Coturnix japonica: one gene and its partners. The protein of the gene in region 1 binds, or shares a complex with, the protein of each later gene. Links are inferred from orthologs where the notes say so. Each region holds a gene or a part of one and is shown in the gene's direction. Other genes may lie near its edges.

Region 1 (5,231 bases):
TGCTGGTGCACAGACCCTGTGTGCAGGTCTCTTCTGTGCTGCCTGCAGTGTGAGAAGAGGACAGAGACTCTGAGCAGCTGCAGGGAGTCTGGGACCCTCTGCCCTACACTGCATGGAGAGGGGAGAGGGGCAGGAGGGGCCTCGGCAGGGATTGGTGCTGGTCCCAGAGCCATCCCTGCCGTGCTGCCGTCAGCTGCTCTGCTGATGGGAATTCAAGGCAGCATCCAACCGAGCTCTGCACCCACGGGCAGGGGCAGGAGGGTCAGAGCCGCTGCTGGGGCAGCACAGTGACCCCGATCCGCCCTGGAACTGCTGCTTTGTGCCCGCAGGGCGGCACGAGAGCCAGGAGCCGTTCCTGGCGTGGCTGCTGCTGCTCAGCAACATGTCGGCGCTGCCCTGGGTGCACTCGGTCAGCTACGGGGACGACGAGGACAGCCTGTCTCAGGCCTATCTGCAGCGGGTCAACGTGGAGTTCATGAAGGCGGCCGCCCGCGGCCTCACCGTGCTGTTCGCTTCGGGTGCGTGAGCTGCGGGGCCGGGGGCGTCCCGCTGCCCAGCGCTCCGGGCGCCCCCATCACTCGTGGCTGCCCGCAGGTGATGACGGTGCCGGGTGCCGGAGGGTGCCGGGGGGGAACCACACGTTCCGGCCCAGCTTCCCGGCCTCGAGGTAACGGCGGCCCCGGGCTCCTCGTGGCTGCGGGGCGGTGTGAGCCCCGGGGGGGGGTCGGGTTTGGGGGGGTCCGCAGCACCTGCCCGTCCTCAGCCCCTACGTGACCACGGTGGGCGGCACGTCCTTCAAGAACCCGTTCCTGGTGACGGAGGAGGTGACGGATTACATCAGCGGCGGCGGCTTCAGCAACGTCTTCCCCATGCCCGACTACCAGGTGCGGCCGGGGGCGGAGGGGCCGCGGGGGGGGCTCCCCGGTGCCGGCGCTGATCGGGCTGATGGAGCTGATGGAGCTGCCTCCCCCAGGCCGATGCGGTGCGGAGTTTCCTGCGCTCCGCCCCGAAGCTGCCGCCCGGCTCCTACTACAACAGCAGCGGCCGCGCTTACCCCGACCTGGCCGCGCTGTCGGACAATTACTGGGTGGTGACCAACCGGCTGCCGCTGCCCTGGGTGTCGGGCACGTCGGTGAGCGCGGGGCGGCGGGGCGCGGCTCGGGGCCGTCGGGTCCCGGTTCGGTGCCGTCGGGTCGCGATTCAGTGCCGTCGGGTCCCGGTTCGGTGCCGTCGGGTCGCGGTTCGGTGCCGTCGGGTCCCGTTCCGGTGCCGTCGGGTCCCGGTTCGGTGCCGTCGGGTCCCGTTCCGGTGCCGTCGTGTCGGTGCGCTCCGCCCGGCGCTGAGCCGTGTCCCCCGTTGCCCCGTTCGTTCCAGGCCTCGACGCCGGTGGTGGCGGGGCTGCTGGCGCTGATCAATGACCGCCGCCTGCAGGGCGGGCAGCCGCCGCTCGGCTTCATCAACCCCGCGTTGTACCGGCTGCGGGAGCGCGGACACGGCGCGGCGCTGTTCGACGTGAGCGGGGCGGGGGGCGGGGGGGGGTCCCGGGGGGTGCGGGGCGGGTCCGGTCCCAGCCGGGCTGTTCGGTCCCGTCCGGTCCGGTCGGGTTTTGCTGACCCCGCCCCGTCCCCAGGTGACCGTCGGCTGCCACGTGTCGTGTCTGGACGCTGCGGTTCAGGGCCGCGGTTTTTGCGCCGTTCCCGGTTGGGACGCGGTGACCGGGTGGGGGACGCCCAACTTCCCGCAGCTGCTGCGCGCGCTCACGGCGCCGTGACGCCAATAAAGGCCGCGATACGAACCGTGTGTGCGGGACCGACGGGACGGGCGGCCAATGGGGAGCGGGGACGGGAGCGGGGCGGCCAATGGGCAGCGGGAGGGGGCGGGGCCGAGGGGGCGTCGCGTCGCGCGCAGGCGCGTTGCGGAGCGGCCGGAGCCGTCGGGGGGGGCGACATGAGCTGCAGCAACGAGAGCGACCCCGGCACCGCGGTGCCCGCAGCGCCCGCAGCGCCCGGGACCACCGGGACCACCGGGGACAACAAGCACAGCCCGGCCGCGGGCGGCAGCGGCGTCCCCGGGGCGCCACCCAGTGCGGCAGGAGGAGCGGCCAGGGGAGCGGACGGGGGAGCGGCGGCGGGGAGGGGACCCGGTGAGTGCGGGGAGGGGAGAGCGGGACCGGGCCGTGATGGACCAGGCCGGGCTGGACCGGGCCGTGCGGTGCCGGGCCGTGATGTGCCAGGCCGTGAGGGACCGGACCGGGCCGTGCTGTACCGGGCCTGCCTGTGCTGTGCCGTGCTTTGCAGTGCCATACCGTGCGGTGCCGGGCCGTGCCGTGCTGTGCGGTACCGTGCGGTGCCGTGAGTCCCGCTGAGCGCCTCCTCCCGTAGCTCCCGTGTCGGCCGCGGCGCCGCCCGAAGGAGCGATGTCCAACGGCGTTTACGTGCCGCCCGGCGCCGCCAACGGGGAGGTGAAGCCGGTGGTGTCGGGGACGCCGCTCGTGGATTTCCTGCTGCAGCTGGAGGATTACACGCCCACGGTACGAGCGGCGCGGGGCGGGCGCTGAGGGCGGGCACCGGCACCGGGCACCGAGTGCTGAGCACCGGGCGCTGAGCGCGGCTCTCCCTGCAGATCCCGGACGCCGTCACCGGGTATTACCTGAACAGAGCGGGATTCGAGGCCTCCGACCCGCGCATGTGAGTGTAAAGGGCGGCCGGGGGGGGGGGGTGCGGAACGACCCCCGGTGCCGTATCCCCGCCCACCCGCCCGTTGTTGTGCCCGCAGCATCCGGCTGATCTCGTTGGCCGCACAGAAATTCATCTCTGACATCGCCAACGACGCGCTGCAGCACTGCAAGATGAAGGGAACGGCCTCGGGGAGCTCCCGCAACAAGAGCAAGGTGGGTGTGATGGGGGGCACTGCCAGGCATTGACCTGGGTCACAGAGTCACAGCGTGGCCTGGGTTGCACAGAACCACAGTGCTCATCCATCCCAACCCCCTGCTGTGTGCAGGGTCACCAACCAGCAGCCCAGGCTGCCCAGAGCCACATCCAGCCTGGCCTTGAATGCCTGCAGGGATGGGGCATCCACAGCCTCCTTGGGCAACCTGTGCCAGTGCGTCACCACCCTCTGGGGGAAAAACTTCCTCCTCAGATCCAACCTAAACCTCCCCTGTCTCACTTTCAAACCATTCCCCCTTGTCCTATCACTGCCCACCCTCACAAACAGCCGTTCCCCCTCCTGTTTATTCGCTCCCTTCAAGTACTGGATGCCCACAATGAGGTCTCCCCGCAGCCTTCTCTTCTCCAACCCAAACCAGCCCAGTTCCCTCATCCTTTCCTCATATCAGAGCTGCTCCAGCCCCTCTGCTCATCTCAGTGGCCTCCTCTGGACCCTCCAAGAGCTCCATGTCCTTCCTGTGCTGGAGGCCCCAGGCCTGGACTCAGCACTGAGATATGAGCTCACAAGAGCTGAGTAGAAGAGGACAATCCCCTCCCTGTCCCTGCTGGCCGCCCCTTTAAATGCAGCCCAGCACACAGTTGCCTTCCAGGCTGCAGGCACACACTGCTGCCTCATATCCAGCTTCTCACCCCCCAAGTCCTCTGCAGGGCTGCTCTCAAGGAGACTTTCCCCCAGTCTGTACACACACCTGGTGTTGCCCCAACCCAATGCATCACCCTGCACTTGTCCTTATTGAACCTCATGGGAGGCTGATGTGTGCTGACTAAATGGGAGGGAGCGTGGTGGGCAGGAGGTGGGCAGTGCTGTGTATGGAGATACTGCAGGGCCACCCAGCCCTGATGGCACCAAACTAACGCTGAGGGAAAAAGATAAAGGGAGGAAGCGTGTAGAAATAGCTTCTGGAATCCACACAGCCCCAATTGTGGCTTAGGGGCAGTGCAATAGATGCGCTGAGTAATGCTCAGTGCGTTTCTCTGCTGTGGAGGGCAAAGAGCAGATGCAGCTTTCAGGCACTTGGTGCTGGTTAATGCCCAGCCACTGGGCATCACACACACATGGACTGCTCCAATGAGGGTCAAAACCCCAACCAAGGGCTGAAGGCACGAGGTGTCTGTGCTGTGTTTGTGTGCTATGAGTGCTGTGTCTGTGCTGTGTTTGTGCTACAAGTGATGTATCTGTGCTGTGTCTGTGTGCTATGAGTGATGTATCTATCTGTGCTGTGTCTGTGCTGTGAGTGATGCTGCCCTTTGTCCCCAGGACAAGAAATACACTCTGACCATGGAGGACCTGACGCCCGCCCTGGCGGAATACGGCATCAATGTGAAGAAGCCGCACTACTTCACGTGAAAGCAGGGCTCGTTGCTGGGGACTTTTCTAGGGTTTGCTTCTGCTCCATTAAACCAATGGGTAGTTTTTTTTCTGGTGGAAAGACCCCCCGTTTCCTGCCGCCCTCCTGCTGTCAGTGCAGCAGCAGCATTTGGCCCACGGAGTTCTGCTCTGCCAGCACCAACAGAAGGTGATGGCTGAGGGCTGCACAGCAGGGAACTGCAGCTGCATCTCCTGGAGGGCTCAGCCTGCCCTGAGCTGCTGCAGGGCTGTGGGCATCGTGCAAACAGAAGCGCCCAGCTTCCTCTGTGCTTTCTTTCCCTGTAGCATGTCTCGTAAGAGGAAGGTTCTGGGGCTGTGACGGCTGCTGCAGCTGCAGCCAGGCTCCTCTGCCTCGCTCTGGGTTTGGCACAGAGCAGCTCCAGCGCCCAGGGCTCCATGTGCCAAGGGCAGCCCTTCTCCCAGCAGCCTATTGAGGTATCAACGCACCCTTCGGCCCGTGGCCAGTTTTCATAACAAATATTTATTTCAGATGCTGGCGGCTTTTCCACGTGGCCTGGATGGAAATGATAAAAAGTGAAGCGCGAAGCTGGGGTGGTGCTGGGCACAAAAAGGCAACTTTCCCCTGCTGTCCTTAGCAGGGAAGAGCACCAGGACTGGACACTGTCAGCATGAGACCAAGTGGGAGAGCTGCCCTGGGCCTGGGAGCATGACGTGGCTTCAGGGCGGCAGAGCCCCACCACGCTCAGTGGCTGCATCCAGGTGTCCTGCTCAGTCTGCCCACAGCTGCCAGGGAGGGTGGAGGTGCTGCCATAGATCGGTGCTACAGAGCCCGAAGCCCACAGAGCGGCTCCAGGGAAGGCAGCATCGCCTGTACCGTGTGTCCATGGCTGGCTCAGGGTGAGGGGGCAGCCCCTGCTCCCCCTTAGCTCTGGGGTTAAAGGCACTTGGAA
Region 2 (4,456 bases), on another chromosome or scaffold:
AAGGTGTTTTTGTTTATGAGTTTTTTTATTGCTTTTGGGGAAAATGCTATTTGTTTTCATGGCATTTGATGAACCTCTGACAGTTGTCATGATGTGTGAACTTTTGAAATCTTGCAGACCTCAGTCTAATTGACAAAGAATCAGACGATGTCTTGGAGAGGATCATGGATGAGAAAACTGCAAGTGAGTTGAAGATTTTATACGGTCACAGTGGACCTGTCTATGGCACCAGCTTCAGTCCTGATAGGTAAAATAAAGTTTACAAGCTAATTAGTTCGCTTGTGTTGAATCTTAATAGTGTGCTATGAATGTGAACGTGTTTATAATGCGGCTTTTACCAGAAGATCAAAGTAACTCTTGTATCTTCTTTAAAATAAGAGATTTGAAAACATTATGTAAGCTACACAAGAGACAACCATCACAGAAATACAGCTGAGAAGTAAGCTTTGTGTGGAACATGATTATAGAATCTATATACAGCCTATAGTCTATATAGAGAGTCTATTCATAATTTGTTAATAATTAAGAAAAAGATTTCATACCGAGTTCACATTCAGGGAATCTTACCATATAGTTTAGAGTTGCATTAAGATTATTCTAAAGTAATATAGTGTAGCAATCTACTGCTTTTTCCCCCCGCATGTGAATGTAATTCTTAAGTGAAGACTAGTTCTTTTTTGCAGCCCCTCTGTATTGCTGTGTCATCAGAATTAATCATCAACATTCAAATGTCTCTTATGCTTGACAACCAAGGGTTCAGTTCTTCCCGAACAGTTTATTGTTGTTTACTTCAGTAAAATGCTGATTTTAATGGGAAATACTAAATAGTAGCTGCCCAGTGGAGAGTTCTATGTATCATAGAATTGTTACAGAGCTTATGCAATGACTACACAGTCTGTTAACTTGGTATGTAATGTACTATACTTTCTCCTGTGACAGGAACTACCTGTTGTCCTGTTCTGAGGATGGTACTGTCAGATTGTGGAGCCTCCAAACATTCACTTGTCTGGTGGGATATAAAGGACACAACTATCCAGTATGGGATACGCAGTTCTCTCCTTATGGGTATTATTTTGTGTCGGGGGGACATGACAGAGTGGCTAGGTAAGAAATTAGATGAGTTTTCTACATACCAGTTTTGTGGTGAATTAACTCAGAAAGTGATTATTGGCTGATATAGTTAATAACCTATTACTGGAAATAAATTTTATTACACACGAATTAAAATACTAAGCAACTATTTTAATATATGTTTGTTTTCCTTTTCAACACACATCAGAGACATCATCCTCCTATGTGGTCATTTCATGTTAGAAATATTTTCTCCTGTTGTTTAATAACCATGACAGAATGTCCTTTATTTCTCCCTTCCCAAAAGCATAGTTTTCCAGAATCGATCCTTCTAATTCAACAAATTTACCAGTAAGAAGCCACTCATTAATTATTTCTTTTATTACCGTGCAACAGATTCTGAACTTCATTAGTGCTCCCTTTATTAACAAAGCTTTTCTTTTCAGACTGTGGGCAACAGATCATTACCAGCCTTTACGGATATTTGCTGGCCACCTTGCTGATGTGACGTGTACTCGATTTCACCCTAACTCCAACTATATTGCCACTGGCTCAGCAGACAGGACTGTACGGCTGTGGGATGTTTTAAATGGGAATTGTGTAAGAATATTCACTGGACATAAGGTAAAGGCACATCACCAATGTGACTTAATTTCTGTGGTGTGATTCTGAAGAGTAGCATTCAGAACAAGTGCAGATTGACTAATTAGCTCGTTTGGCTTTCCTCACTGCAAATGTCTTTTGTAGGGTCCGATTCATTCATTGGCATTTTCTCCTAATGGACGATTCCTGGCTACTGGAGCAACAGATGGCAGAGTTCTGCTGTGGGATATTGGACATGGTTTGATGGTTGGAGAACTGAAAGGGCACACTGACACTATCTATGCGCTCCGATTCAGTAGAGATGGGGAGATCTTAGCATCAGGTAAAAGTCACTGGAAGCAAACATGTTTCCATTGTGCTCCATCTGTTTGAAGTGGGATTATGTAATGATAATGTACCTTAAGCTGAGTAAGGCTAATTAGAATCACTAAATCCTGAGTGAGCCGCTACCACAAGAGTGAATGGTTCCTTCAGCTGACCAGTGCTCCAATGAAAGCAGAGTCCACTGGGCCTGCAAAATACTGAGCTCTTCCCTCTATCAAAGGAAGTATCCAAGTGTCAAGAAAAAAGTCATTATGTGACTTAGAATCATAAACATCTGGTGGAGTTGGCATGTAGGCCTAAGGTTGTTTTGCCTTTTCAAGTGCTGGCTGATAGAATGGAAACCCAGCTGTTCTCAGAGGTGCTTCTTGGCACTTTATCTGCAGTGCATTCCTGTTAGATGGCAGGTGATGGCTTTTATTCCTGCTTTCACTGTGTTAAAGGCTTGTTTAAAAATGCTTCGTTGCAGGATGAGTGCTTAGTATTCAGTTATGAGCTGTTCTGCTTTGTGAGTTTTAATTCCTGTTGTGTTAATTTGCTGTCTAGCAAGGAAAAGACTTTTAAATGTTACTTTCCTTTTTTCCCTTGTAGGTTCAATGGATAACACAGTTCGGCTGTGGGATGCAGTGAAAGCATTTGAAGACTTAGAAACGGATGACTTTACTACAGCCACTGGACACATAAACTTGCCTGAAAACTCCCAGGACTTGTTACTGGGTACATACATGACCAAATCAACTCCAGTTGTACACCTTCATTTTACACGCAGGAACTTGCTGCTGGCTGCAGGAGCCTACAGTTCACAGTAGATCAGGAAGACGTAAGACTGGCTGTGCCAAGTTGTTGCAGCAGTGACCTCAGAATGTGAGATGAAGAGGAATGTCTTGTATGGGTGGACTTTGTTAGTCCATTGCAGGAAAAACAAAACTGTAAACTAACTCAAGTGACATCTTCTCTATTCTGCTCTCGTAATTCACATCTTTTGCTCTCACAGTTTGAAAATGCTGGAGACTGACAAGACAGTGTGAATTTAAAGGAATTGTTTCATGGTGCTTTTGATAAATGTATCCATATGTATATATATACATACATACATGTATATATATGACAATGGCTGTCTCCTCTCAGAGATGGTATTGAGCTCTGCTGAAACTTCTGGAAAGTTAACAGCCCTGGTCTGTGTTCTCAAATGAGTTTTTTTAAAGCACTTAATATATGGTTTGCTAATGTTTAATCAGTCTCAAACACAGGTGAAAACTTCAGACTCAGAAAAGGAGAATGTAGTTTAACTCACTATAGCCTGGGCTGGGCAACAGGAATGGTGAGAATATTATAGCAACAAATAGGGCATTGAAAGAATAAGCCCAACAGGCAGAGGCTTGTGGGGAACTGCAGAGAAGTTACGTGTAGTTTTTAAGTACCAAGTCCTGAAAAGATTTCAAACTTTGTGCTCTTTTGAGGTATTAGAAATGGAGATCTTGTTATTCTGTTCTGACAAGAAGCTGCTGCTGTGCGATAAGGAACGCAGATTGCAATGTGAATTCTTTGGAGACACGCATCACCCAATCTTAAAAACAATATTCTTAAGCCCCCACACGTTCTATTAGATTTGAAGAGCTTCAAAAACCTGCATCCTTTGAGAAAACAGTTTAACAGATCACACTAAAGCTAGTGAAGGATCAAGAAACTGAAATCTGAATTCAAGAAAAAGAAATCTGCTGGCTCTCTACTGAAGATGCAGAAAACCAAGACTTGACGTTTCCAAGGTAAACAAAGAACTACCTCCTGTCTCATCCTTTTTCTGACTAAGCCTTGGAGTAAAGAGGCATCGGGGCATTAAATGTCAAAGGAAAGGTGGAAAATTCATAAGGAAGCTAATCCAGAAACATTCTTTAAAGAGAAATGGTTAAAACTAAACTATGATGGATTTGATCTGTAAAGGTACATCAGAACTTCCTAGTAGTCAATACGATCAGCTGGACTTAAAATGGTAGTGAATCAAACAAGTTACCTAAAAGCATGTACAGCTTTGAGAGCTTGAAGAAAACACTGCTGCATTCTGCCTTTTTATTTTGTACAGTTTTATACTTTTGATAGTATAATAAATACTAAAACCACACAGCTTGTGTCTGTAGACTGTATGGTGGAAGAAGATGCTTTCTTTCCTTGACAGCTGCAGTGGATGTGAGAGCAATGCTTTTAAAAGCGAGTGCTCTGCTTGGAGAAACAAGGGAGTTAGTTCAACAGCTGATGATTTAACTAAGATTTAGTTCTAATTGTATGTGATACATTTTTGCCAAGCATTACAGTTACAACAACTATTGTTCCTCTGGAAGGACATAAAGGGCAGAGGCTGATGTAAACAGAATGGAAAGACTACATTTACTCAGAAGGATGGCTTTAATAATAAATTAAGGATGGAGATCACAAGAACCTCATGTAATTTCCCCTGACCTACACT
Region 3 (4,456 bases), about 170 Mb from region 1:
CGTTCTTATTCCAGACCTAGAATCCTTTTTCCTGCTTAAATAATTCCATTTTAAAAGTGAGGAAGTGTAGCCAAGAGGATAAAGTGCTTGGCTGTGGTTCAGGAGATCAGAGGTTCTCATTCTCAAACTTGCCATGGATTTTCTGGGAGATATTGAGTGAATTTTCTCCCTTCTCTACACCATAATATGACACGTGTGAGACTGAAGATGGTGGTACATGTAGGAAAAATTGAGAAATTGAAACGGAAAAACAAAATGATTTATCAAAAGCAGAGCAGCGATACGTGAGATGTCCATGATGGCTTGAAATAGTGCCTGATGTTCATAACCGTTCATGTTTCGGAATTTGTTTTATTTTCAAAAAGTTGGCTTTTTTGGTCCCATAGCCTAAGTGCCTACTTGCAACTCAAGCATTAGGTGTATTCTTTTGGCAGCGTATCTTTCATTTCGCTTTCAGTAAAGAAGGAATCCAGCTTATGTTCTCCAGAATTGCTCAATGATGCAAAAAAACAGCAGGGTGATGGGGCGATGAATTTCAAAGTTGTGCTCCTGATCCAAACCAGCACACATACATGCTGACACAGGGGTGCTCCCATGTAATCGTAACAGTTAGTGTACCATACAGCAAGCTCTTAAGGTGAATCAGAAACAGAACCTAGCAGGTTGAACAAAATTCAGTCCATGGCTTCTAGCTGAGCCACTTCAAGAAAAACAAATCCAGTTTAGGAAGACATCTTCCTAGTAGTTAATTCGCCATCAAAATTCTACGATATTTAAACAAGACCGCTAATTCCAGTGGATTTTACTTACATGTACACATAGTGGATGCTATGATCCAGAAGAAGCTCCTCACTTTTCTTTCAAGTAGACTGGCATGAAGTGGTTTTAAGGACAGTTAATGTAGGAGGTAACATATGAGAGCTAAAATGCATGTGAACTTTTGATACTTTTTTGTTTCTGTAAAACACATTTTGAATTATCCCTAATGCTTATTTAAAATGCTCTTTGTTACAGAAGAGGAAGAGGAACAAGTACCAACAGATGGAGGTACATCTGCAGAGGCCATGCAGGTGCCACTGGAAGAAGAAGGAGATATGGAAGAGGACGAGGCAATTAATGATGAAAATTACTTGAGCAAGAGAACATTAGAAAGTCCTGATGCTGAAGAATTTCCACCCATGAAACGACCAAAACTGTCTGTTTCTAAAGGAGACGCTCTGGATGGAGCTTTGGAACCACGTGAGCCTCTTAGCTCAATAAATACTCAAAAAGTACCTCCGATGCTTTCTCCAGTTCATGTTCAGGACAGTTCAGACTTAGCCCCTCCTTCACCAGAACCACCAATGTTGGCTCCCATTGCAAAACCACAAGTGCCAGCCCCCAAGACATTAGAGTCAAAGCCACTTGCACCCAAAACAAAGTCCAAATCAAGTTCTCCAGGACAAAAGACAAAATCACCTAAAACTACCCCCTCACCAGTGGTTGCTGGAAGTCCCATACGTTCACCAAAAACTGGATCCAAAGAAAAAAAGTCACCAGGTCGCGCCAAGAGCCCCAAAAGTCCCAAAAGTCCAAAGGCTCCCGTTCATGTCCCCCCGCCACCTGTTAAACCTGAAACACCAAGCAGAACCCCTCTGGCTGCATTAAGTGACAAAATAGGAAAGGAAAACATTCAAGTAAAACAAGGACAGACACCACCTGAGCCTGTGACCAAGCCAAATATTGAAAACCAGACTAAGAAATTACCGGTGATGGACAAGACTATTGATGATTCAATAGATGCTGTGATTGCTCGTGCGTGTGCTGAGCGAGAACCCGATCCCTTTGAGTTTTCCTCTGGTTCTGAGTCAGAAGGGGAAATTTTTACCAGTCCAAAAAGACTTTCTGTTTCAGAGACTACAACTCCAACTCCTAAACCTTCTGTTTCTGCTAATTGTTCTAATAAGGCAGGAGCAACTCCGATACCTCCATCAGGTGGGACTTCGAGTTCAGACATTTCATGGACAATGGATGACTCAATTGATGAAGTCATTCGAAAGGCAAACATGGGGACACCTTCTAATCCACCTGCAAACTTCACTTACTTCTCTTCTCCTTCTGCTTCACCGCCAACTCCAGAACCTCTTCTCAAAGTCTATGAGGAGAAAACCAAGTTGGCTTCCTCTGTAGAAGTGAAAAAGAAACTGAAGAAAGAGCTGAAGACAAAAATGAAGAAGAAAGAGAAACAGAAGGAAAAAGATAAAGAGAAAAACAAGGAGAAAAACAAAGAGAAGGAAAAAAACAAAGAGAAGGATAAAGACAAGGAAGGAAACAAGGAGGCGAAGTTTCAGTGGAAGGAACTTCTCAAAGATGATGAACATGATCCCTATAAATTCAAACTAAAAGACTTTGAGGATGCTGACACAAAAGTAAAGTTGAAAGATGGCAATACCAAAAAAGAGAAAGAAAAACATAAAGATAAGAAGAAAGAGAAGGAGAAAGGTAAAAAAGACAAGGATAAGAAAGACAAAGAGAAAGTTAAAGATAAGAGTAAGGAAGATAAGATAAAGCCCCCATCAGCACCTCTTGTGTTACCTCCCAAAGAAATGTCTTTGCCCTTGTTCAGCACACCAACTGCCATGAGGCTTCCCAGCATGTTACCTTCCTTGTCTCCTATGCTTCCTGAAAAGTTGTTTGAGGACAAAGAAAAACCAAAAGAGAAGAAGAAGGACAAAAAAGAGAAGAAGAAAAAGAAAGAAAGGGAGAAAGACAAAGAAAAGGAAAAGAAGGATAAGGAAAAGGAGAGGAAGGAAAGAGAGAGGAAGGAGAAAGAAAAAGAGAAACATAAACATGAAAAGGTGAGTTGTTTAAAAGAGCTGAGATGGCATCATTGTTTGACAAGTGCACATGGATTCCTGAATTTGCTGCTGAGAAGCATATGTGATACAGAAGATATGTGACCACAGACTTCATACACTTTAAAACAAACAAACAACCAGTGTTGTTTGTTGCTTCAATGTAAGAAGCACCCCAGAAATTTCAGGTATTACCCTACTTCTTTGGGAGGCAAAAGAATAGAAGCTCAATTTTGTGAGTTTGGAATATGAGATCTTGCCTTGATTTTGGTTTGAATTGGGTTGGTTTGGTTTTACGTGAGATTTCTGGTTTTCCTCAACTCACTTTTCGCTTTGGAAAGCCAAGACTTACACTCAGTGGCAAAATGCAGAACAAATGTATGCTCTGTTGCAATGCCCAAATTTTGTTCTGTGGATTTCCTCTAGTGAGGCCAACAGCCTTTCATATAAAATTCAAATACAGTTTCTAGAAGTTTACTGTTTCAAAGCCTGTAGAAGTCTGTAGGTTACTGGATGGCCATAAATGAGGAGCAGACCACCCTAGAATAAGTCATCATTTGTGTACCAGTAGAGCTACCAAATCCTCTATTAGGAAGACCTCAGCCTTCATGCTCCAGTTAGACAGAAGTAAGAAAATTGTTTTCAACCTGTAGTCTAAATGCATATTCTGAATATTCAAATATCACCTTTTGTTTTGATTTTTAAGCTTGAGATGGAGGAGACCTGGCTTTCAAATGGACTGAGCTGCTTCTTCTCCTGTAGCTCTTACTGGTTTATATCAGCCACGGACAGTTCCTTCTTTCCAATATCACCTAATCTTGAGAATATCTTTAATATATAAAAAATGAAACCAGCATATTTGCATGTTATCTGATTTTAAATCCCATTAGAAATGACTTCCCTAATTCAAGGTTTGCTGTACTTTTTGTCACTTAAACTTATATTGTGCATTCAGTTGTTAATACTAAAAGAAAAAAAAAGAGCAGAAAAGAAAGAGATTGTCTTGGATACTGATAACCTTGGATGCAGGATTTCTTAAATCTCTATCCTTAGCATTAGGAAGCACCGCTTACATTCTGGTTTTACAGAGATATTCTTTACGTTCTGCTTTGAGTATAATACTCACTTTGTACAAGCTCAGACTTGGGATATTCCTCGCTATCCATTTTCGATGCTGTGAGGGATGGTACCCTGGTGTGCTGTCTGGCAGACTTGAAACAAAATGCTGATTTCAAAACTTATACCAGCTTTTTAACTTGGAAAACGGATTTTCAGTGCAGAATCCAGGTGATCTGGAAAACTAACATTTGTCTGCCATGGATGAATCAGTGATTGACAGGGTGGTGCTCCGGCTGTCCCTGTTAATTTAATGTCTGAATTTTAGCTTGCAGCAAAGCTGCTGCATGGACTCCTCCTTTTGTCTACATGGCAGCTTTCTCTCTGCCCCTCACGCTCGAGGCATTTTGTCAGTATCTCACTGAGAATTTCTGCAGACGTTTCTCTTTAAGTTAAGTACACATATATAAAATAGAGATAAGTTGCTTGGTTTTTGTCTGTTTTGCATTTCTTCCCCAAATCTCTCCCATCTAATTTGTTTTAGAGCAATATAAAAGCTACACAAA
Region 4 (5,228 bases), on another chromosome or scaffold:
AGAGCACAGTGATGGCACAGCTCAGAAATGGGCTCAAATCCTCCCATCCTACCCCCAAACTACTTGCTCAGGGAACAGAATAGAGCTGGAACTGCAAAAAAGCTGCAACATAAGAAACGCAGCAGCAAGTGGCTTCTTTAGGAGATACCGGATGGGAGAAAAAAAAAGGGGGAGGAGAAAATACTAACACGTAAAAGCTTCAAAACAGAGTGAATTGCACAGCATGGTCCTTTAAATGCAACAGCAAAGGAGCGTGCCCTCCTTCTGGGTGCCCGTGAAGCTGACCCTGAGCTGCCAGCCACTGTCAGGCTGAGCTGTGGTGGAGCAGCATCGCTGCAAGCAATGGAAATTATTGAGGGTGAGCACGTACAGAGCACACACAGTGAGAGGACACCTTGCTCAACACCCAGCTGCACATCCAGCCTGTGAATTCACCCACGACCAGAGGAAACACATGCACAGTCACCAGCCCCTGCTGGCACACTGACCCGGAGTCCTGCTCTTCCAAACACACGTCTTCCCAGTTACACCAGTCTGCTGCAACCAACCACAAGCAGCAGCACCTGCAGCAGCCCAGGGAGCAGGCAGAGCCAAAGCCATCATGGGGCAGCACCCAGCCCTGCTGCACTGCTCTCCAACCTTACAGCCCCACCTTGGGGCACAGAACCCCCAGGGACTCTGCTCCCAACCCCTGCAGCACCACAACCTCGGCAACCCTCACACACCCCATGTACCCCACAGTCCATGCAACCCACCACAGTGCCTCATCCCATCCCCTTCATGCACTCCTTTTGACACACACAGGCCCAGACCCCAGGGGCAGCAGTTCTCCATTTACAGTACAGATACATTCATATCCCACTGGGCTCCATCCCACACCATGCCATGGGAGCTCGGACAGCCCCTGTCCCACAGCCCTCCCACCCATACATTCCACCCAAGCACAGATTCCAACCCACAGCATCCCCTGTACCACAATCCCTTCCTCACCCCAAGCACACCAACAGCCAGTCTCAGAAGCCCCAAAATCCCAGCTCATCATTACAAACCCACTATCCCCACACATCTTGTGTCCTCAACAACGCACCCCTATCAACCCCACAACCCCTACACCCACACCTCACCTCAAGCAGCACAGTCCAAGTCTCCCAGCACCCCAACTTCAAGTCCACACACCTTCAATCCTTCTCCACAGCCCTACAGCACCCCAACCCCATGCACCCCACAGCTCCTATAAATCAATGCTCACCTTGAGAGCCTACAAACTTCACACACTGCATCCCCCACAGCCCTACTCTCCCCTCAGCTTTCACCCACAGCTCCCAGCCCCAAACTACCCCCTGTGGGGGGCTCCTACCCCACAGCCCTCACCCCACAACCTTCCCCATCCTCCTCACCCCACAGCCTCAGCCCTGTACCCACCTCTAACCACAGCTCCCCAGCTCCATGGGCCCACCCCTCATAGCCCCCATCCCCCTCATTGCCCCCCACTCACCTCAGCAGACTGGACAGCGGGTGTCCCACTCCTCCACCTCCTCCTCCACCTCCTCCACCGCCGCTTCCACCACCTCCACCGCCCCCGGATCCTCCTCCGCTCCCTCCTCCGCTTCCCCCGGAGCCGAACCCTGAGCTCAGCCGTTTTCCCGACAGCAGTTTCTCCACAGCGGGCAGGTTCCCGGTTCGTGCGGCCTCCAGCAGCTCCTGCTCCTTCCCCATGGCCCGGCCCGGCCAACGCCGCCGCCTCCCGCCAGGCCCCGCCCCGGAAGAACGCTGAGGGGGCGTGGCCTGAGGCCGAGTGGGCGGGGCCTGAGGGGCCGTTTGTTCTCTATTGTGGGCGCGGCCTAATAAGTGGGCCTGGTCTGCTGTAGGCCCCGCCCCTGGTGGATCTATATTCTCATCCCATTTCTCTTCATTATCAAATGGAACTGATACAAAATGACGCGTAGAGCCCGTCAGCACGGCTATAGATGGGGTGGATCCCACCCTGCTGTGCCGGGTCCACACGCAGCTCACAGCTCTGTAGGCCGCACGGCGCTCAGCCCCGTCGCCATAACGACAGCAGCGCCCCCTGTCGGCCACCGTAGCGTGACGTCATCACCAGGCGACCGTAGAGACGAGGCGTAATGGCGGATCCCGGTGAGCCGGGCCGGGAGGAGCGGGGGGGCGGCACCGAGCGGGAACCGGCACCGACCGCTACATCACCACACGGCGGGGATGGGACCATGGAGGAACCGACGGCCACGGACGGGGTTATAGAGGGGGACATGGAGGCTGGAGCCGGCCAGGAGCTCAAGGCGGAGGCGGCGGATGGGGAGGTGAGGGCTCAGCACCGGGTCGGCCGGGAGATGAGGAGAGAACGGGGCCGGTCCATAACGGTGTGTTGTATCGTAGGGGAGGAGCGGGGACGGGATGGACGGGGAGGATCCGAACCTGCAACAGGCGGCAAAGAAGGTGAAGGTGGAACTGAAGGAGAGGAAGGAGAAGAAGCACAAAGTGGACGAGGATGAGATCCAGAAGATGCAGTGAGTGCTGGGGAATGGGCTGCGCTGCAGGGCGGGGTTAATGGCCATGAGCAGCATCAGCATCGTTTGTGGTTCAGCTCTGTGAGTGATTCGTCCTCTCCCTTCCAGGATCCTGGTCTCCTCCTTTTCCGAGGAGCAGCTGAATCGCTACGAGATGTATCGCCGCTCTGCCTTCCCCAAGGCTGCCATCAAACGGGTACGACTTCAGTTCGTGCTTCAGCACAAAGCAAACGGCTCAGCCTGGCCACAATACCCCCCCCCCAACCTCCCCTCCCCAACATGGCTGTGGGGGGACAGCGATGCAAAATAATTGCTAGCACTGATCTGTAGCTGAATCAAACTAATCTCAAATTGTTACAGCTACCATGTGCCCAAAGCTATAGGAGCTCATTCCAAAGCTCTGTTACTGTTGTTTCTGCTCATTTTGTTCACTGGTGCTCAGTATTTGGCTCCAATCACTAAATATAATTTGAAGTGTTTCAGTGTTGCTGCATGTACCTCATTTGACTGACTGCCTGTTCTTTGCTTGTGCAGCTGATCCAGTCCATCACGGGCACCTCTGTCTCTCAGAATGTGGTTATTGCCATGTCTGGCATTTCCAAGGTCTTCGTTGGGGAAGTGGTGGAGGAAGGTGAGCAAATCACATTATTGTTCAGTAAAAAGTTAAGGACACAGAGAGCACATCGCTTAAAGCAGAGAGACATGAAACAAAGCTGGACTTTTGTGGCTTCTTGTCCAGGTGTGCAGCCTGGACAGTGCCCTGCAGGGCCCTCCTGCTTTCAGCAGCAGCAGAAGACAACTGTTAAAACTTGGGACTTCTTGCCCCTACATGAGCAGGCTGCAGTGCTACAGCAAAGATCTCATTAATGCTACTGTGGACAAATTCAGCTTAGAAGGGAAATGCGTTATTTAAGCCTCTTAGCCTGCAAGATTCTTTGTTAATGCAGTGAGCTGAGATCTCCTTGGGATAGACTGTGCAGCGCTGACCCAGTTGTGTCCCTGCTCATGCAGAGGAGGAAAAGATTCTTGTTTTTTGTGCCAGCCACTTAGTACAGGCTTGTCACACAAAACACACAGCCTGGACTTGCAGGGGTTGCCATCAGCCAGGATGATGCAGCTTTTGGCACTTCTGCTGCTTTGACTGTGTCTGCAGCTCTGTGTTGCCAGAGGCAGTCTGGATAAGCAGCTTCTCTGCTGTACTTATTGCTTCGTGTCCTTGGCAGGAGATCTGAATTATACTTAACAGAAGTGAAGCACAGGAACTGCCCTTTAAGTCAGCTGTAGGTGGTTCCTTCCTCCTATCCCTGCTGCACACAAGTCCCCAAACATACTTCACAAGCTAGAAGTGGTTTTAAAGTAGCAGGTTTAAGATGATGAGGCCTTTTCAAGCTCTTGCATGACTTAGTCTATTCCATAGCAGCTGGGACGTGGTTACAAAGCAGCTGATTCTGAGCTGGTATTGATGCCTCAAGGACTAGTTTTTCTTCAGAGAAACACCCAAAGCTGTTTCATCCCTTTGTACAGATAAAACATGAGCTTTGAACACTGTTACCTGTTGACTTTATAATTGAAGTTCAACCAGTGGGAGGCTTTTCAAATGTCTCCTGCTGGGAGAATGGCAGAGCTGAGCTGTCCTTGTTCACGTCAACTCTTGTCCTTTGTTTAGCACTGGATGTGTGTGAGAAGTGGGGGGAGCTGCCACCTCTGCAGCCCAAACACATGCGGGAGGCTGTGAGGAGGCTCAAGTCACGAGGACAGATCCCGAATTCCAAATATAAAAAGATCATCTTCCACTGAAGTGTCCTGGGATCAGCAAAGAGAAGACAAGTTCAAACAAGCTTTGGTTGTGCACCATATGACAGTTATGAGACAGAAGCATTCCCCTCTCCCGCTTGCAGTCTTCTCCAAGGAAGCTGTACCAAAGCAAGCTCAATTCAACGTGGATTTCAGTAACTTCAAGCATCGAGGTCTTATGTGGATTGCTTTCAGTTTACAAAACTACCATGAGTGTTCTCAGCACGGCTCATGGGGCAGAAGGACAGGGAGAAATGCTGCAGCAGAACCTGCAGTTGCTCCCATTAAACTCCCTGCCAGCAGCAGCACATTGTGTGCAGACATTCATGTAGGCATCCACGGGGATGTTTCCTGCAGTAACTGCTGAAGGCCAGTTTGTCAGCTTAGTGCTGTGCAGGCTCAAGGAGGAGGCAGATCCTTGGCCTGGTGCCTCAGGGTCCTCAGATCCAGCAGCCTGGGAAAGGAACATGCAACGTCCTCAAGTGTATTTACCCACCAGCATCGTCCCTTCTGCTGGCACAGGTGCAGTGTTGTCTCTGTACAGAAGCATCTTTTTTTTTTGTACATTAAACTTGTTACTATATTCTTAGTCTCCCTGGGACAGCAAATACTCATTGTGTAATTGTGTTTGTGTGATTCAAAGTAGGGAGAGCGCGCTGCGATCTGTCTCAACCAACCCCAACATGTCCAAGGAGCTTCACGCCTCCGGCATGTATTGCTCCATTACCACCAGCAAGGGAACACACTGAAAACTGATGTTTCTTAAGTCATCATTTGGCTGTTCCTCCCAAAGGCAGTTGTACGGAGCTGCCTAGAATCCATATACAGTCAGGAACGTGAGGAAGGAAAGGGGGGTAAAAAGTGCACGAGCCTGCAAGGAGGTTAACAAGTTTAATTTCTTGTCATGGTTCA
Region 5 (5,214 bases), about 99 Mb from region 1:
ACAGATGGTGTTAACAAAAATTGACCGAGCTTCCAGGGGACTGTTGTTAAAGAATGTTCTGGGGATCCAGGAGTTTGTAAAGGAGAAAACCCAGGGATGCTTTCCTCAGCTATTCCTGGTCAGGTAATGCTCTTTTTTTTTCTTGCTGCTGTGCCTTGTAGATGATGATTTGCACTGACCAACCTACCTTCACCTGGAACTGTGTTAGCTATAATTGATTACATTAGAAGTGCTTACTCTATTAATGTTGTATTGCAATGTGGGGATGTAATTTAAGTGGTTGAGTTTGCTTGTCTTGCTTCAAGATACTGTAGCATCAAGCACTGAACATCATACCTTTGTTTCCACAGTTCTGTGGAGTTTTCGGGAGTCCACTTGCTAAGGTGTTTTGTAGCCCATGTTACTGGAAACCTGCCTAGTGTAGAGTCCAGTTGAGAAGTCTGGCTCCTGATCTGCTCAGCTCATCTGGAACAAAAGGTACCAAAACCAGAGGTCTGGATTGTTGTTGTAAGAACCTGAAGCACCACAATTATTTTTGGATAAACTTTTATAAATTTTTGGCTAAAGTAATGTTTGTAAAGGCGAGCTTTTTGTTTAATAAACTTCTTAATCACTGTGAATGAATCCTGGGTACTACACAAAACCTATGTGTTTGTGTCAAGGGAGGGAAAAGAAATAATCAGAGAACCTCCAGAGAGAAGCCAGGTACTTGCTTTGTTGAGTTGAATGACACCTAGCAGTTTAAATGAGCGTATGGGCACCCTGCCTGCTCTAAGGCTGTCCAGAGTGAAAACAGTCAATGCTTTGTTTGCAAAAAGCTTTTTGGAAACTTGTATTTTTTTCACTATTGTAACTCCTCTGCATTGTGCATTCCGTAGGTTCAGCGTGATAGCATGGCATGCCTTGCTTGTCTACATCTGGTTGTCCCTGTTACGGGCAGATGTGGAAAAGGAAACCTACTTTATGGGATCTGCCTCCTGGTTGGCTGTTGGCTTGAAACAGTGGTGATGAATGAACAACACCTAGCAGAACTCTCTCCTCCTGCACTTGATCATCACTCAGTGTTGCATGAACCTTCTGTTTTAAATCCCACGTGAGTTCTGCAGCTGCGCTCAGCTCAGTTACCAGAGATGGGTCCATTACCTACATCTGTCCTGCCCTGGGAGCTGAAGCACAACACAGAGGTCCTGCAGCCACTGTACCTGGCTAAGGTCAAAGGGAAACCACATCTGGTACAGAATGTACAAAAAGGACTGCCATTAAATAGCAGTAGTTGTACACAGCAATTTAGACCAAAGCTAATAAAGTGCCTGTGTCACACTCTGGCACACATCTTGTCCTGTCTTAAGACTGCCAATTCTGCGTATACAGTTGCTGAGGTTAACTTACATTAAATGTTTATATCTCAAGGAAAAGTGATTCTTTCATAACCCACTCTGAGGCTTGAAGGTGGTGTTTCTACTGTTTGTTACGTTAAGGAATGTCCTGTAACTCTCAGATTAGGCTTGAAGTTTGTTTCCAGCAGATATGTAGGAAGTGGCAGGATGAAGAAACCAGCAGGGAGATGTGGATCTCCAGTTTCTACATGTAAGCAGAGATCAAGCATGTCATGCTACCGTTTTGCTTCTAATCCCAAAATGCACCAAAGCAAACTGGCCTGTGAGTGTCTGATTCTAGAAATAAATACAGTAGGATCTAGAGAGGTGGAAAACACTCAAGTCAATGTTTTGGGAATAATTGTGTGTTTGTATCTTAAAACCAGTGTCTTTCAAAAGCATCAGTGTAGTCCAAGCTGTTATCTTCAAGGCCTCAGTTTGTTATGTGCAAGATTTGGAAGCTCTGTGACAGATGTGGCAATAAATAAAATCGAATTAAGCAAGTGCTCCATAGATTCTTCTTGACTCTGCTGTCCAGTAAAGTTTTGTTTCTCCAGTGCCTGTACCTCAGCTGCACCTTTTTCTTCCTCTCCTTCGTCTTCCTAAGGAAAAAATCTTTTGAATAGCCTAAGTTCCCAAGGCATTTCTCACACTAGATGAGTGAGGGGTGGGAAACAGCCTGGGTGCTATAGACACGGCACAACAAGATGGCGGCCCCCAGGGGAGGCGGGAACGGGAAACCGGAAGCGGTAGCGGGCTGTGGCGGCCATGGCGGACGAGGAGGAGGACGCGCCGGTGAGCGGCGGGGATGGGTTGTTTGCGTTCAGCCTCGGGGCGGGAGGGAGCTCCCCGTTTAACGGCTTCCTTCCTCCGCTTTGTTCCTTCAGTTCGAGGAGGACTCCGAGGAAGCCGGCGGCGGTTTGGACGGCGGGCAGGGCAAGAGGAAGAGGCTTTTCTCTAAAGAACGTGAGTCCAGGTTGGGGGGGGAGCTCAGGGTGGGAGCGTTACTGATGCATTGAGCAGATGGAGGCCTCACGCTGTGTGTATTCCCGCAGTAAGATGCATGATGTACGGATTTGGAGATGACCAGAACCCTTACACGGAATCTGTGGATATTCTTGAGGACCTGGTGATAGAATTTATCACTGAAATGGTAAGTCAGTGGTGTGCCAAACACGGGTCTGTTAGCCTTGAGAAAAGAAGACTGAGAGGGGATCTGATCAATGTCTGTGAATATCTAAGGTGTGGGAGGCAAAGGGATGAGGCCAGACTCTTTTCAGCGGCATGTGGCAATATGACAAGGGGAAATGGCCACAAACTGGAGCATGGAGCCACACAAATGTGTGCAGGAGCTTCTACATGGAGAGGGTGACGGAGCACTGGAACAGGCTGCCCAGAGTGATTATGGAGTCTCTTTCCCTGGAGCTGTTCAAGACCCACTCGGACTCCTACCTGTGCAACCTGGTGTAGGGAGCATGCTTTGGCTCCCTCTGCTTCAATGAAATTCCTTCAGCATTATCCCAGGCAAAAACTCGTGTGCTGCTGGGAAGAAATCTAAACTCAGATATAAGAGGTTGGATGTTAGGGGGAAGTTCTTCACTAGGAGAGTGGTTAGGCCCTGGAACAGGCTGCCCAGGGAGCTTGTGGATGCCCCGTCCTTGGAGGTGTTCAAGGCCAGGTTGGATGGGGCCCTGGGCAACCTGATCTAGTAAAGGTGTATGTTTGGTGGCCCTGCCAGGCAGGCGGGTTGGAACTACATGATCCTTGAGGTCTCTTCCAACCCGGGTCATTCTGTGATTCTGTGATTGCCCTTCCGATATTAAGATAGAATTAACACATTTTACTCCACATGGATTTAGGGCAACGTTCGGAGGCTTTAAGTAACAGTTAGGGGAAAAAATCCATAGCTGACTTTGAGGCACCCAGTGGCATCGCTGTGTGTTCTGCTGACAGATGGCTCAGCTTTGAAATGTTATGTGCTTCTTGTGTTCTCTCAGTGCCTTTACACAGATGGAAATGCCACACCATAAAATAAATGCAGCCATCTGGGCCCTAAAGCCACTGCTGATCCAGACATTTGGATACAACTTGAGCACTTATGTTAAAAAAAAAGAATAAGAAAAGTGGTATTGTTTGTGGATCCCTTCTCATGAGAAGTTAGCCTTGCCTATTCTCAATAGAAAAAAACTGTCCTCTGATGCAGGTATTGCATACTGCATGCAGATTCTGCTTGATGCTGTTGCTCCTCAAGCACTTTGCAGATCAGGTGTCCCCTCCCCAGTCTGCCTTCAGTTCCAAAGACATTCCTGTTGTGTGTGCAGTGGTACCCAGTGTATATGAGGTACTGCACTTGGATGGCAATGCCCAGATCCTGCACTTGCTGCCTTCTAGACTGTTTAAAATGTCAGTAAATACAGTAGGATTGAGATCTGAAAACAAAACTAAAAGGGGCAGAGGAACACTGATGTTTCTCTCTTGCAGACACACAAAGCCATGTCAATTGGACGGCAGGGCCGTGTACAGGTTGAGGACATTGTCTTCCTAATCCGCAAGGACCCCCGGAAGTTTGCCAGAGTTAAAGACCTTCTGACTATGAATGAAGAACTGAAACGTGCCAGAAAGGCCTTTGATGAAGCAAACTATGGATCTTGATTCTGTGTACAGGCTTGACTGGAGCGTGCTGTGGGCTCCTGTTGCTCAAGAGGAAGAAATGTCATGTGTGTTGCTTTGAGGGGTTATTTGAGCTGGAGATCATTGCTGCTATCTGCTCTGCCTCTCAGCCTCTTGTGGTAGGCATTCAAACAGCTAGATGTTAACTGATTACACATGGCGCTCCTAACGTGTTTTTATACCATTATGGGAATTTGAGAAATGAGCTCTAAAGATATTTTAAAGGTGAGAAGTCTGCAGTAGGACAGCTGAATTGGGAATCTACAAGGCCCATGACAAGCTCTTCTCTACTTTGGTTATGTCGAGGTATTTTGTTGACAGGAAACCTGGAAAATAGATGTTGGTTAACTGGACAAAGTTGTCAAGCCCAAACTATTACAAATTCTGCTCTGTACATAAACTTGAATAAAGCAACTCGAGTCTGTGCCCACTCTTCGTAACTACACGTACACTGATCAGTTAACGCAGGGCACATAAAAATTGTTGGCTATTGTAGCATCTCATGAGCTCTAAGTGCTGTTTCTGTCCTAGTAGACACAGCTCTCCTGTTTTTACTGTACACTTAGAGAACTGAAATTAACCTGTTCCAGATTTAGTTGCACTCAGATCCTTGCCTTGCCCCTGTTGGGCAGATGCTCCACTATAAAACTGATCTGACTTAATTCAAAGAACTTTTTTCACAAGATTAGGATCACCGGGTAATTACAAATAAGAGCTCGATGGAAAGCACTAAGCTTGTGAAATAATGTTAGAGCAAGGAATAAGTATGTGCTGGAATAGCTACACATTGCCAAGCAGGCAAAAACTGCACACTTGAAAAGACTTCAGGACACTGGGGGACTTGTTCACAGATAAGTTTACTCTTGCGGGCTCCAACTGTGCTTTGCCCTGTTTCCAAAGCAGCAGGATTTGGTTAACACCTTTTCAGGACAGGAGAGAAAAGGCACTGAGTAGGAAGTAACTCCAAGCTGCTGTCCCTGGACAAGGCTGGGTAAAAAGGATACAGATTACTCATCTGTTTTGAACACTGTTCCATAAAAAAGAACAACAAAAATGTTTACAAAAATAAGATCATTACTCCTTTGTTAATAGAACTCAGTGTATGAGGTACCAAGACACTTAGAGGCATTCCAAGTTCTAGTTAGAAAAACAAGACACGTTTCTTCTT
Region 6 (4,456 bases), on another chromosome or scaffold:
TCCATGTTTAACTCAGTTCCGAGGATCTGATCACTTCCTACGTGCTGCAAAATAGTTTTCAAGTCCTTAAAGCTGGATTAAAATATAAAATTGCTGCACGAACATCTTTGTGTCTGTAGAAGCAGTTATATCTGCAACTTTTATTGAAACCATGTGGCTCCTGTTGCAATTAATTTGTACATTCTGTTCATTTATTAATTTTTTTAAAAATTCAGATTGAATTTTACAAGGTTGGAAAAGTAATTAACAAGACAGATGTGAATTGGTGTAATGCCAATAGAACGTGTTTTTTTTTTTTTTTTTAATATGTGCTAGGCTTTATCCTATAAGGATTTTTCTATTAGGTTAATGACACTCAGAGGAATGGTGTCTGTTCTGCACATTGGGGCAGTGTATTAATATTGGTTTGTCCAGAACAGCAGATATCCAATGCAGCATCTGCCTGTGGGGTTTCTACAGACCATTAGGTCTGGTGCCAGAAGGGCTGATGCACCCAGAAAGTTCCTGTTTTAAGATCTGTTGTTGAACTCTTCTTTTAAAACTTCATCAGGCTTTGAGGGAGATGTGATGTATCCTTTGGATGAGATCCTCACAGTAGCTCTGTGTGCTTTTGGCGTTACAGCTCAGTTCCCACAGCTCTTCCGTTCATAGTGGCAGAAATGTGTTTTCTGTTTGTGATTTTTGTGAGCTGGTGAGTGAGGGCTTCTATTGCAGCTGCAATTCAGTTGTGTTCATCATGAGACTGGGCTCTGTGGTTCTGTGTCAGAGACTGAAATAAATGTAAAGACTGCTTCTGAATTTGGTTACTTGCTGGATATAATAGTGCTCAATATGTTTCAAAATCTATTTACCGAGGTTGTTTGTTTGTTTGTTTCTGGGAAGCTGATACTTAGAAGTGAGTATACGTTTTTACCTTCTTTATTTTCCATTGCAAAGTTATCAAATGTGCATGAAGAAATCTACACATATAGACAAGTTGCAGGAACAATGTCTCCTGGCTCTGTTATTAACAGACTGAAAGAGATTTCCTAGACCCTGAAAGACCTGTTCCTTCTTGACAGTATCATGTATCCTACTTGCATCTAAGTTAGATTGGAATGTATTCGGAGACTAACTTGGAAATTCTTTTTAAATAACGTATCTGGATAATGGCTTCTTAGTTCTGACTGATCTAGAAAAAGCACATTATGTGCTTGTAGTGATCTTGAATTAAGCGTAAAGATCCAGGTGACCCAGGGGCCAGCTGAGCCATTGGAAGCTCCTTTTTGACCTGCTGATAATGGAAAAGCAGGACAGTTACAATAAGGGAAAGTCTGGATGTGTAGAGAGGCTTTTATTTGTGAAGTGTATTATGAGAAAACAAAAGTATTTTCATTTACATCCAGAAAGTACTGTGTTCATTTAGAACAATTCCTTGGGATTTTCCTTAGATCCCCATGCTCCTAGTTGCGTTGGGTCTCTGGGTGTGACAGTGTTTTTTCTTCACGCCCAAACCTCCTGGTACAGTGATGGTAGGTGCCAAATAAATTAATGTGTCAGTGCTGAAACATTAACTAGATCTCAAATATTGTATACTCAGGAATGTGTCTGGCTTAATATTTGCATCTACACATTCCCTAATGCTGTTGTTTTAGTAGAGCTTTCTTGTCATTGTCCCTGGTATGTTCAAACTAAATGTTGTTCTCAGCAACTAGACCGTTGTTAGAGTTTACTTTAATGACTATTTATTTCAACTTTAATTCTCCAAACGGGACAATGCTATTGTTGATTTTATTCTGTATTTCATAGTTCTTTATGAAATATGTGATTCTTTATGATTCTTATGAAAAATGCAATTCTTTATGATTTGTCATGTTATTCTTTACAGTTGTTGTCACTTTATTCTCACTAGGTATGGTCTTGGTGCGCACAGATGCTGGACAACTTGTGATGGTGCCTCAGCAGGCTCTAGCCCAGGCACAAATGCAGGCTCAAGTACAGACACAGGGACAAGGTCCTACCAGCATTTCGCCTCGACTTTCAGTGCCCACAGGCGGCCCAGTTTTTCGTCTAACAACAACTCAGGTATGTCTGGCTTGGTTTCACCTTGCTTTTGTGTGTGTGTTTCATTCTCCTCTGTCATCTCATCTCATACATTATCAGTTCTTTGACAAACATGTTTCTCGAAGACAGAAATTGGTTTGGAATGTGTGCCATTGACTTAGTAAATGACATTGTTCCCTCTGTGAGTCACTGTGATATTCCAGCACAGTGAATGGATTTATGTGATCACTAGATTTTACTAGAAATTAGAAAAGAAAAAGCAAAGCACTTTCTGTGCCAGAATTCACAGTACTTAAATTTCTGTAGTACACTTTATTTGGAAGAAGGATTTGATTCCTTTGATTCACTTCTGGATGTGATTGGTCTGCACTTAAAGTTTTGTCTGTGTTTTGACTACATTTTACTCTATTTTAATATGGATTGACAGGATACTGTGCTTTTCTACCCCAGACTGTTTCAGTGGAGAGTGTGGAGTTTGTGTATTTATTTATTTTCAATTACTTTGTATACTTTTTTGGTTTAAAATTCTGTAAGGATGCTGTTCAGCTTCAGACTATGTATGGCCACTGCTTAACTGTCTTACTAAGATGTAGAGGCAAGTGCCTTCAGATGTGTAGGGCTGTTGTGCTGTGATAATTACTGACAGAGTGAAAGGAAGTTTTGCCTAAGTTCTTTGTTTATAGAAGAGATAGATAACCCTAAATGAAATGGGGTGAAAAATATACCTTTATAATTTTCGACTGATTCTTGTGTAGCTTGCTTGAAGTATCTTGAATGTGTGTTTTCCTGTGTTAATATTTGATTGCTATCCCATTATATGCTTTGTGTTTTACACCCTGTTTGTAGTTTAAAAGATTGTTTAGTCAAAAACTAAAAACAGTGATAAACTTTTCAGAAGAGAAGGAAGCCAGAATAGAATTGTATAATTGAAAATGAGGTAATCTAAACCATAGAGCAGCCAAGTAAAATGCGAGTTTTAGATGTGAATGTAATAGGAGTAATGTGTAGTTCAAAAGAATGTATCTCAAGAAGAACACAAAAGCCTGGAAACATCTGATAAACTTAATGCTGTCAGCAAAAAGGGTAAGCACAGTATTAGATGGAATATTGTAAAAGAACTCTGCAGGAAAGGCAGCTGGTTAATATCTAAATTCGTGATATCTGGAAGGGTAAGAAGATTTGTAAAAATCCTTCAGAGATAAGTGTGAGATGTCAGGAAAATAAACACAGCGACAAGCCTATATTGATTTCCAGTTGTTTTTTTGTAACTAATTTGACACCAAAAAAAGTCTGGACAATGTTCATTATTTAGTTTGTATGTCTGTCATTGGTTGTTTGCTTTCTTGTTTTGTTTGTTTGCTTTTAAAATAAATGCTCCACTTTTTACATAGCACACACTCTAGGAATGGATTCTGAGATGAGCGTATAGTATAAATGCATAACAGATCATGGGTGGGACTGCACCAAGAATATGACCTCAGTCTGTTAAAATGACTTAGGTTTAGTTGCTTTGGTTTCATACTGTAAGTTTTTGTGCAACTTCAATTGCTGTGGCTAGCATTCAGAATTAAATTGGCTGCATGTGTTCAATCTTTATTGTAAGATTGGAATTTTATGTGTGCACAACTGATGTTGGGAGTTGATCACATTGGCCTCGGGCAGGTGTTCTCGAGTTATGTGAAGCTGTTAAGATTGTGGAAATAGTGTAATCTGACTTGTTGGGTTTTTCTGAAAATTAAGCTCTGAGGATGCTGCATGTTCATGTGGTGGCAGAGATGCTAAAAATCTGATGGAGGTAGTTCTACTATTAGGATGATGTAGTTATTTTTCTACAGGATTCTGACCAGCTAGATAACCTGCAGAGCATGATAGATATCTCTTTATACGTATTGGTGTTAATTAACAGCTTGAGAATAGGGGCTGGCAAAGCCCTAGGAATGGTAAATGCCTCACAGCATACAATAGTTTGGGTATTTTTAAGGTGGTGGGATTTGAGTCATGATATTGTAGCCAGTCAGGATTCATCTTCTTTGAGAGACCTGTGTGCCTCTAAAAAAAAAAAAAAAAAAAAAAAAAAAGTGGGGAAAATAAATAAATGTTTTAAGTGTTCTTAAATTGAATTGACTTAATCAATAGATTAAGTTGTTTGGGAGGGAAAATTCCCGTGACTTCAGCAGCTGTGCTTATGTCCAGGACGGTCTATGAGGAAGAGCCAACTTTCTGTAGGAGTAGCAGAAGAAAGCGTAGTTTAACTTCCCTCAGGATTTAGCATATGAGCTTAGTATAACTCTTTCCTTTGATTAAAAAACAAGCGCGTGTTGCCTTGCTGAAGGGTCAGAGCTCAAGTATCTCCATATAAGAATATTTTCCTCCCTGTGTAGAAAAGTATGTATTGTGATTGCAGTGTCAAACA

What was found.
Region 2: TAF10 (region 1) and TAF5 share a complex: the UniProt entries of both Homo sapiens proteins name them as parts of the TFIID basal transcription factor complex. The link is inferred for Coturnix japonica from reciprocal best matches to the Homo sapiens genes TAF10 and TAF5.
Region 3: TAF10 (region 1) and TAF3 share a complex: the UniProt entries of both Homo sapiens proteins name them as parts of the TFIID basal transcription factor complex. The link is inferred for Coturnix japonica from reciprocal best matches to the Homo sapiens genes TAF10 and TAF3.
Region 4: TAF10 (region 1) and TAF11 share a complex: the UniProt entries of both Homo sapiens proteins name them as parts of the TFIID basal transcription factor complex. The link is inferred for Coturnix japonica from reciprocal best matches to the Homo sapiens genes TAF10 and TAF11.
Region 5: TAF10 (region 1) and TAF13 share a complex: the UniProt entries of both Homo sapiens proteins name them as parts of the TFIID basal transcription factor complex. The link is inferred for Coturnix japonica from reciprocal best matches to the Homo sapiens genes TAF10 and TAF13.
Region 6: TAF10 (region 1) and transcription initiation factor TFIID subunit 4-like share a complex: the UniProt entries of both Homo sapiens proteins name them as parts of the TFIID basal transcription factor complex. The link is inferred for Coturnix japonica from reciprocal best matches to the Homo sapiens genes TAF10 and TAF4.

The regions. Positions count from the first base shown.
Region 1 is NC_029516.1:173,985,422-173,990,652, forward strand, and holds TAF10 (transcription initiation factor TFIID subunit 10), read left to right. Parts: upstream 1-1,904; 5' UTR 1,905-1,947; coding exon 1,948-2,143; intron 2,144-2,381; coding exon 2,382-2,530; intron 2,531-2,622; coding exon 2,623-2,687; intron 2,688-2,775; coding exon 2,776-2,890; intron 2,891-4,209; coding exon 4,210-4,299; 3' UTR 4,300-4,377; downstream 4,378-5,231. Other genes in the region: TPP1 (tripeptidyl-peptidase 1), read left to right, coding at 330-518, 595-667, 764-884, 974-1,132, 1,375-1,512, 1,631-1,771. UniProt on the Homo sapiens protein: The TFIID basal transcription factor complex plays a major role in the initiation of RNA polymerase II (Pol II)-dependent transcription.
Region 2 is NC_029521.1:20,669,195-20,673,650, forward strand, and holds the end of TAF5 (transcription initiation factor TFIID subunit 5), read left to right. Parts: intron 1-117; coding exon 118-247; intron 248-939; coding exon 940-1,104; intron 1,105-1,517; coding exon 1,518-1,695; intron 1,696-1,818; coding exon 1,819-1,996; intron 1,997-2,586; coding exon 2,587-2,804; 3' UTR 2,805-4,117; downstream 4,118-4,456. UniProt on the Homo sapiens protein: The TFIID basal transcription factor complex plays a major role in the initiation of RNA polymerase II (Pol II)-dependent transcription.
Region 3 is NC_029516.1:3,777,599-3,782,054, forward strand, and holds part of TAF3 (transcription initiation factor TFIID subunit 3), read left to right. Parts: intron 1-1,014; coding exon 1,015-2,837; intron 2,838-4,456. UniProt on the Homo sapiens protein: The TFIID basal transcription factor complex plays a major role in the initiation of RNA polymerase II (Pol II)-dependent transcription.
Region 4 is NC_029541.1:4,152,102-4,157,329, forward strand, and holds TAF11 (transcription initiation factor TFIID subunit 11), read left to right. Parts: upstream 1-2,010; 5' UTR 2,011-2,123; coding exon 2,124-2,315; intron 2,316-2,391; coding exon 2,392-2,522; intron 2,523-2,630; coding exon 2,631-2,718; intron 2,719-3,056; coding exon 3,057-3,153; intron 3,154-4,188; coding exon 4,189-4,319; 3' UTR 4,320-4,926; downstream 4,927-5,228. Other genes in the region: ANKS1A (ankyrin repeat and SAM domain-containing protein 1A), read right to left, coding at 1,496-1,716. UniProt on the Homo sapiens protein: The TFIID basal transcription factor complex plays a major role in the initiation of RNA polymerase II (Pol II)-dependent transcription.
Region 5 is NC_029516.1:74,708,653-74,713,866, reverse strand, and holds TAF13 (transcription initiation factor TFIID subunit 13), read left to right. Parts: upstream 1-2,038; 5' UTR 2,039-2,144; coding exon 2,145-2,171; intron 2,172-2,263; coding exon 2,264-2,342; intron 2,343-2,431; coding exon 2,432-2,529; intron 2,530-3,857; coding exon 3,858-4,028; 3' UTR 4,029-4,476; downstream 4,477-5,214. Other genes in the region: GTPBP8 (GTP-binding protein 8), read left to right, coding at 5-123, 351-435. UniProt on the Homo sapiens protein: The TFIID basal transcription factor complex plays a major role in the initiation of RNA polymerase II (Pol II)-dependent transcription.
Region 6 is NC_029526.1:9,439,224-9,443,679, reverse strand, and holds part of transcription initiation factor TFIID subunit 4-like, read left to right. Parts: intron 1-1,891; coding exon 1,892-2,064; intron 2,065-4,456. UniProt on the Homo sapiens protein: The TFIID basal transcription factor complex plays a major role in the initiation of RNA polymerase II (Pol II)-dependent transcription.